Xenopus tropicalis: one gene and its partner. The protein of the gene in region 2 purifies or fractionates together with the protein of the main gene of each other region. This does not show direct contact. Links are inferred from orthologs where the notes say so. Each region holds a gene or a part of one and is shown on either strand. Other genes may lie near its edges.

Region 1 (3,792 bases), about 27 Mb from region 2:
TTTCCCATGGGGCTAGCCATATTCTTCATTTCCCAGGGTGCCACAGCCATGTGACCTGTGCTCTGATAAGCTTCAGTCTCACTTTACTGCTGCGCTGCAAGTTGGAGTGATATCCCCCCCCCCCCCCAGCAGCCGATCAGCAGAACAATGGGAAGGGAGCAAGATAGCAGCTCCCAGTAGGTATCAGAATAGCACTCAATAGTAAGAAATCCAAGTCCGGCTTGGGACTCCTCCAGTTACATGGGAGTAGGAGAAACAATAGGTTAGCTGAAAGCAGTTCTAATGTGTAGCGCTGGCTGAAAGCTCAGACTCAGGCACAAGGCACTGAGATGGCGCCTACACACCAATATTACAGCTACAAATACATTTGTTGGTTCAAGAATAAAAGGTTAAATGGCAGAGGGAATTATTTGCTGTGTAACAGTGTCATTTAGAAATGGGAAAGAGGTGGAAAATCATTTTGCCCTTTGATTACCATTTCATAATGAGACAGAGACAAGTAGTGAAGATCTTGTTTATTAAGGCAGAAGGGCCGGTAGCAACGCCCCCGTTGGTAAAGTGGCTGCAGCTGATTCTACCACTGACTGTACATTGGGTGTAAGTGCTTTACAGTCTATTAAACACAAAGTCTAACAGGATTCAGCTCTGCCAAATCGAAACAGACGAGCAGCCCAGGAGCTGGAGAGCTCAGCACTAAGCTTGCACAATGGGTCGTTCCAAACTGGGACGTACCAAGTGCTCTGGAAAACCAATTACTCATTCCAATCACAGACAAGGCAACTAGAAAATATTTACAGTGCTGCGACATTCTTGGCGACGGGGAGGGGACCTTCTCAGTTAATTAGTGCAGGAAACTGGCGTCAGCCATAACGAGTCCGATGGGTTTGTGTCACGTTACTGGGGGTAAAGTTCCACGATCATCCCGTGTCCCTGCAGCACAGAGAGGGTTTGGTTACACATTGATCACAACAAAATGAAGATTAATATAAAAATGTCCAATTTTGTTTAGGGGTGCACTGGCATCCGGCTGAACCCCGAATCCGTCCTGAAAGATTCAGCCGAATACGGAACCAAATTCTTTGTTGTATCTAACAAAGGTGTTCACCTTTGGGTTAACTTTCATTATGATGTAGAGAGGGATATTCTGAGACAATTCGCAATTGGTCTTTGTTTTTAATTTGTAGTTTTTTAGTTATTTTATTTTCAGCTATCTGGTTGCTAGGGTCCAAGGTACCTTAGCAACCAGGGAGTGGTTTGGATGAGAGACTGATATATGAATAGGGGAGGGGCTGAATAGAAAAAGTTACAAAAAGTAACAATAACAATAAAACTGGAGCCTCACAGATTGGCCCAGATTTGTGGGGAGGCCATAAAGGCCCGGGCCTAGGGCAGCATAAATGCACATCCAGGGAAGGACGCGAATGGTGGCGGCCTCGGGCACCACAACTGTTTGAAGTAGGCGGCAAATAATTAAAAAACTATAACAAATAAATAAGAACCAATTGGAAAGTTGCTAAGAGTTAGCCAATTTTATGACATACTAACAGCGTAAAGGTGAACCGCCCCTTTAAAGAGCTTTTTTTTAACTTTATGTAATGAAAAGACATGTGATTTTAAGAATTTTGATTCAGTTTGGCCTGGAACATGGATCTGGGCGAATCTGAATCCTTCTGGATCCGGTGCATCCCTAGTTCTGTTACATAAGGCCATTCAGCAAGGCCGGATCTACTTATTTATAAGAGCACAGATTCCTATAGGAAATGGCTTTAGCTGTACTGTACCTGCCCCCCTGCCGCACACGCTGCCACAAGGCCGTATTGCCCTCCGTCCTTCTTCAGCCTGTGGGCAGCAGCCATGACCAGCCGGCAACCTGTGGCTCCAAACGGGTGTCCCAGCGACAGCGAGCCCCCCCACATGTTAAACTTGTCCAGAGCAGGGGCTCCAACCTGTAAGAGATGCCCCAAGAGGGTATCAGTAAGGGGAGGGTAAGAGGGCATCAGTAAGGGGAGGGTAAGAGGGCATCAGTAAGGGGAGGGTAAGTGGGCATCAGTAAGGGGAGGGTAAGTGGGTCTCAGTAAGGGGAGGGTAAGTGGGTCTCAGTAAGGGGAGGGTAAGTGGGTCTCAGTAAGGCGAGGGTAAGTGGGTCTCAGTAAGGCGAGGGTAAGTGGGTCTCAGTAAGGGGAGGGTAAGTGGGTCTCAGTAAGGGGAGGGTAAGTGGGTCTCAGTAAGGGGAGGGTAAGAGGGCATCAGTAAGGGGAGGGTAAGTGGGTCTCAGTAAGGGGAGGGTAAGTGGGTCTCAGTAAGGGGAGGGTAAGAGGGCATCAGTAAGGGGAGGGTAAGTGGGTCTCAGTAAGGGGAGGGTAAGTGGGTCTCAGTAAGGCGAGGGTAAGTGGGTCTCAGTAAGGGGAGGGTAAGTGGGTCTCAGTAAGGGGAGGGTAAGTGGGTCTCAGTAAGGGGAGGGTAAGTGGGTCTCAGTAAGGGGAGGGTAAGAGGGCATCAGTAAGGGGAGGGTAAGAGGGCATCAGTAAGGGGAGGGTAAGAGGGTATCAGTAAGGGGAGGGTAAGAGGGTATTTTGATTATAAAATAAAATAACTTTCTGTGATGGATCTCACTGAGCTCAGAACTGACAGGGAACAAATATGGAACTACTTACCTTTGCCTTTCGCCCCATGTAATTCTGTGCAAACCAGTCAGAATCCATGGCTTTCAGATTAGACAGGATCTGGCCCTGTGGGACAAAGGGATTGGTTACATATAGTACTAAGCAAAATTCAGCAGAAATAGCTCATAGCCTGTACAGAGAGATACCATAAAAACTATGGCACATAGGGATTCCCCTGTACTAAGCACAATTCAGCAGGAACAGCCCCCTAAGTTTGCCCATAGCCTGTACAGAGAGATACCATAAAACTATGGCACATAGGGATTCCCCTGTACTAAGCACAATTCAGCAGGAACAGCCCCCTAAGTTTGCTCATAGCCTGTACAGAGAGATACCATAAAACTATGGCACATAGGGATTCCCCTGTACTAAGCACAATTCAGCAGGAATAGTCCCCTAAGTTTGCCCATAGCCTGTACAGAGAGATACCATAAAACTATGGCACATAGGGGGCTGTTCCTGCTGAATTGTGCTTAGTACAGGGGAATCCCTATGTGCCATAGTTTTATGGTATCTCTCTGTACAGGCTATGAGCAAACTTAGGGGGCTGTTCCTGCTGAATTGTGCTTAGTACAGGGGAATCCCTAAGTTTGCCCATAGCCTGTACAGAGAGATACCATAAAACTATGGCACATAGGGATTCCCCTGTACTAAGCACAATTCAGCAGGAACAGCCCCCTAAGTTTGCCACCAGTAACCACCACCCCTCTGTTTTGTGCCACCCTGAATAATATTATGAAGGTGACCGAGGTGCGTGTAGATGACTCCATTCCTCAGGGGGCACCACACAGTGGATCAGTTCAAGTATGATCCAACTACTGGTCTAAGGGTTAAATGTAAGGATCTCCTTGATTTGGACCACCGCTGTATGTTGCCAAATTAAATATCTGCCAATTTTGGCTACAAGTTTGAACCAATGGACTTGCTTACCGCAAATGCTTCATGGAACTCAAAGGCATCAATGTCAGCGAGAGTCAGTCCTGCCCTTTCCAGTACTTTGGGGGTAGCGTATGTGGGGCTGGAACGGGAAAGGCAGTCAGTGTGATAGGGTTTAAGCACAGTGTTCATTCATTGGCTGATGAGGCCTAGCATGTATGTGTGCCTTGGCTTGTTTGTGTGCACTGTGAAT
Region 2 (3,519 bases):
ACCACTACCCATGGGTTCAGGCATATACCTAAAATAAGGCAAAAGCAAACATCACAAGAAAATCTGGGAGAACTGGACACTCGCAATGGGCTAGAAATCTTCTCTTCTCCTTTCTGGTGTGAATCGCAGGCAAAGACTAACGAATTGTAATTATGCTGATTATTCTTGATATGTCTTGTAATACCCTGTTGATGTCTAACTACTAAGGTGTATATGTATTGTACCTGACCTGCTTTAAATACCTCAACCATGTCTAACCTTCATCCCCTTACCCCCTACCCATGTTTAAAAGTTTCTAAACAAAAACCTGTAAAAAAAAATAATATAAAAAAAAGTGTACTTAACAGTTAACAATTCCCATTAAGAACTTCCAGTTTGTCAGCTACACTGAAGAGTGTGCAATTCGCCCAGCCCAGTGACCCATAGCAACCAAGCAGCAGTTATGAACTGAAATAACAATATCCTTCTATAGGAATTTACTTAGCAGGGAACAGGCATGGGCAAAGTGATCTGCAGGGCACCCAAAAGCTGCATCATTCTATTTTTTGAATCATTATACATACTGTATTATTATAAATATGGTTTACAAAATGTAATTGTAAAGTAAGATTAATGTAGTTACAGCCCCCAGATCTCTTACCTGCCCTTAGTTATTCCATTCCAGCACTTGTCCTCATTTCCCGGGCCAGCAGTCACCTTTTCTGTGCAAAATAAACTTGGTAGAGAAACCCAGTAATCTTGAATATCACTCAGTATTCCTTTCACATCTGAAATCTAACAACAAAACAAGAGTATAAGGAACGGGAGTTATTACTATTCCACTGTAAGATATATAGATATTAGAAGTCACCATGAGGAACCTTGGCAATGGCAGGGTACAAGCCATAGGCTGAGAGCTTCAATACAGGCTATGGGCTCTAAGGTGACTTCTAATATCTGCATATTTTACAACAAAGGAAATATTGTTTTTTATAATACATAAGTTATAACTTATTCACTGCAGTCAGCAGTTCTACTACCGGAGTCTCTAAAGTAGCAACCAATGGTAGGAACAGTGGCCAAACTATAGAGGCTAAGTACCCCATGGCTGTGCTGAGGATGCAGGGGATAATTTGGGTCAGTTGGGTACCAGTCAGGGGAGGAGGCAAGTAACTGTATTTATTTTTGTCTAAGAAACAGTAATATAAAAAGTGCTAGAGAATAAACAGTCTCTAACATGTTGGGGTCATGTCTAACTTAGTAAGCACTTTGCACCAGGAAATGGAACTTTATGCACAATAAATACAACAGAGCAGGTAATTCAGTAGAATAATAAGAATAACTGGTATGTCAATGACAATGAACAATTTGTATTTTTTTTATTGTTATTGGACCCATTCTAATTTAGATTAGAGCACCATGTAGCAAATCCTGGTGGAATTCATTGGCCTGAGAAGTGCAACAAAACTAGGACTGGCAAGTGGCTGCTACAAATGGCACTTGATTCAACTGTTATTTATAGGTCAGAAAGATCCCTGAGTTACAGAGGCTGGCGTATCTTCCCAGAATGCAATACTGTTGCTGCTTAATACATAGATTTTCTTGGAGAGATTGGAGTGCTTGGCAATTCAGCAGTCTCCTGTACTCCTAAGCTTGGTCATGTTACTAAGTTTTGTAAGAGAGGGGCCCTCGGTATTGTGTGCTTAATGGTACATACAATATCCCTCAAGTGCATTTTGTGTGTGGATGTTGCCTGTTCATTGTTTTCTGGGGTATTAATGACATTTCAGCATGCTGGGGCCTCCTATAGCCAACTGAATACATTATCTAACATATCACACTACATTTGGAATTTATGGAATCCCAGTATATGAGCATCATTTATTTTCATAACTGTAAGAGCCACACTTGGTCCATACAATTATGAGGATTGCTTATGCAGACAGAATATGGATTATGGATATGGATTATGGCTTCCCTGCAGTGCCAGCTGCCTCACTCCCCTGGCCCTACACTTACCCTTGAGTCTAGAAACCAAGGTCTGTTGCTGCCACATTTCTAATGTAACAACTTTACTATTTTAGACCTTAATAATAAGGGGCTGTTCTGACTTATTATATGGATACAATGCTCTGATTTCCCCGTATCAATATTTGTACAAGCAAATCAATTTCAGAATAAATGGACAGGGCCGTGCTGCGGTTATCAGGGAGCACCATGCAATGAATTTATTATCCCTCTGGCTGAATGACTGACAGAAGGCTGTCTGAAGAGTTACTGGACCATGAGGAAAGTGTCCCTTATGTCTTCTTGCTAATCTTTTTTTTATTGATTTTCCTGTGTGAACAGTAGGCGTATGGCTTAGGGATGCAATTGTGCTGCTAGGAACGTAGGGCAGGTATGAAATTGTGGGGATGCTGGGCCTTAATCTTGTCTGCTCTATCTCGCTCTGCCCTATGGATGCAGCTTTTCTACAGCAGAAGGACTGAATGTCAACACTCCATTCCATTCCATTGATTGGACCCCCTCCTAACTTCATCAACTTAAAAGCTGCACTATGCGACATGTATTGCATTCCAAATTCCTGACTGTACCATGACACTCCCCAAAAGAGAACCACATTATTACTCTTCTACCCAGAATAATATATATATATACACTATGTAGGAACACATGAAATAGAAATGGCAGGAGATTCAGCACAAACCAGGTTGTCCATTGTGGCAACAGCAGATTTATCTTCCTGAGTAGCCTTTCCTTTCCGTCTTCTCTCTTCAGATTTGGAACCTTTGTTGGTCTTTTTTGGAGTGCCGCAGATCTTAAACACCTGGTGGGAGAGAGCTCATTGTTCAGCTACATAGAGAAGTGAATATGGCTTTTGTGTAAATATAATCTCTATCATGATAATTCTCTAGTTTGTTACCCAGTAGTAACAGAAATCTTTGGGAAGGCCATGGTCAGTACCTGACAACGGGGAGGGTGAGGGAGTGTTGTGGGTGAGTGGTGATAGCGGCAAGGCAGGATGACTGGGACAAACAATATTTTAGTCATTGATCTCCTAACTGCCACCCAAAATGTCTAAATCCTCAACACCCCCCAACAGCCTTATGAGCTTTTTTTAGATAAGCCTTTCTCATCCCAGATGTAAAAGAGGAATGTATGGCCTCATCTCAGCCTAACCAGGCTACGGACCAACCTGCCTGGCAGAGTAGGAAACAGGGGTACCTTAATCAATATTTTACTTTGGCATATCTCCTGTTTCTTGCCCATCATACCCACTTGTACCTTGTTTGTTAGGAGTTCCTTGTTTTCCTGCATGTGGGTTATTGCCTCAGAGATCTTGGTGTGGATTGCACCTACAATATTCTCCACATTGGAAGCCCCATTAAACTTGTCTGCCACCAGCAGCAGTGACTCTGCAGAAACAGAAAGGGACAGGTGAATGAGATGAGAGGCCACAACATGGCTGCATTGTCCTGCAATCACACAATAGGCTTAATTATATTTCTGTTCAGCCACAAGGGCCAAGAATTCATGGAA

Evidence for each region. Proteins that work in one complex are often made in the same cells at the same time.
Region 1: the proteins of gpc1 (region 2) and hadhb purify together in Homo sapiens (co-immunoprecipitation; 3 studies listed by BioGRID and IntAct, counting the BioPlex papers as one, with this or other methods). This does not show direct contact. The link is inferred for Xenopus tropicalis from reciprocal best matches to the Homo sapiens genes GPC1 and HADHB.

The regions. Positions count from the first base shown.
Region 1 is NC_030681.2:154,410,552-154,414,343, reverse strand, and holds the end of hadhb (trifunctional enzyme subunit beta, mitochondrial), read right to left. Parts: intron 3,682-3,792; coding exon 3,594-3,681; intron 2,730-3,593; coding exon 2,655-2,729; intron 1,947-2,654; coding exon 1,782-1,946; intron 931-1,781; coding exon 895-930; 3' UTR 501-894; downstream 1-500. UniProt on the Homo sapiens protein: Mitochondrial trifunctional enzyme catalyzes the last three of the four reactions of the mitochondrial beta-oxidation pathway.
Region 2 is NC_030681.2:127,177,271-127,180,789, forward strand, and holds part of gpc1 (glypican-1 precursor), read right to left. Parts: intron 3,396-3,519; coding exon 3,265-3,395; intron 2,807-3,264; coding exon 2,687-2,806; intron 775-2,686; coding exon 641-774; intron 29-640; coding exon 1-28. UniProt on the Homo sapiens protein: Cell surface proteoglycan that bears heparan sulfate. Binds, via the heparan sulfate side chains, alpha-4 (V) collagen and participates in Schwann cell myelination.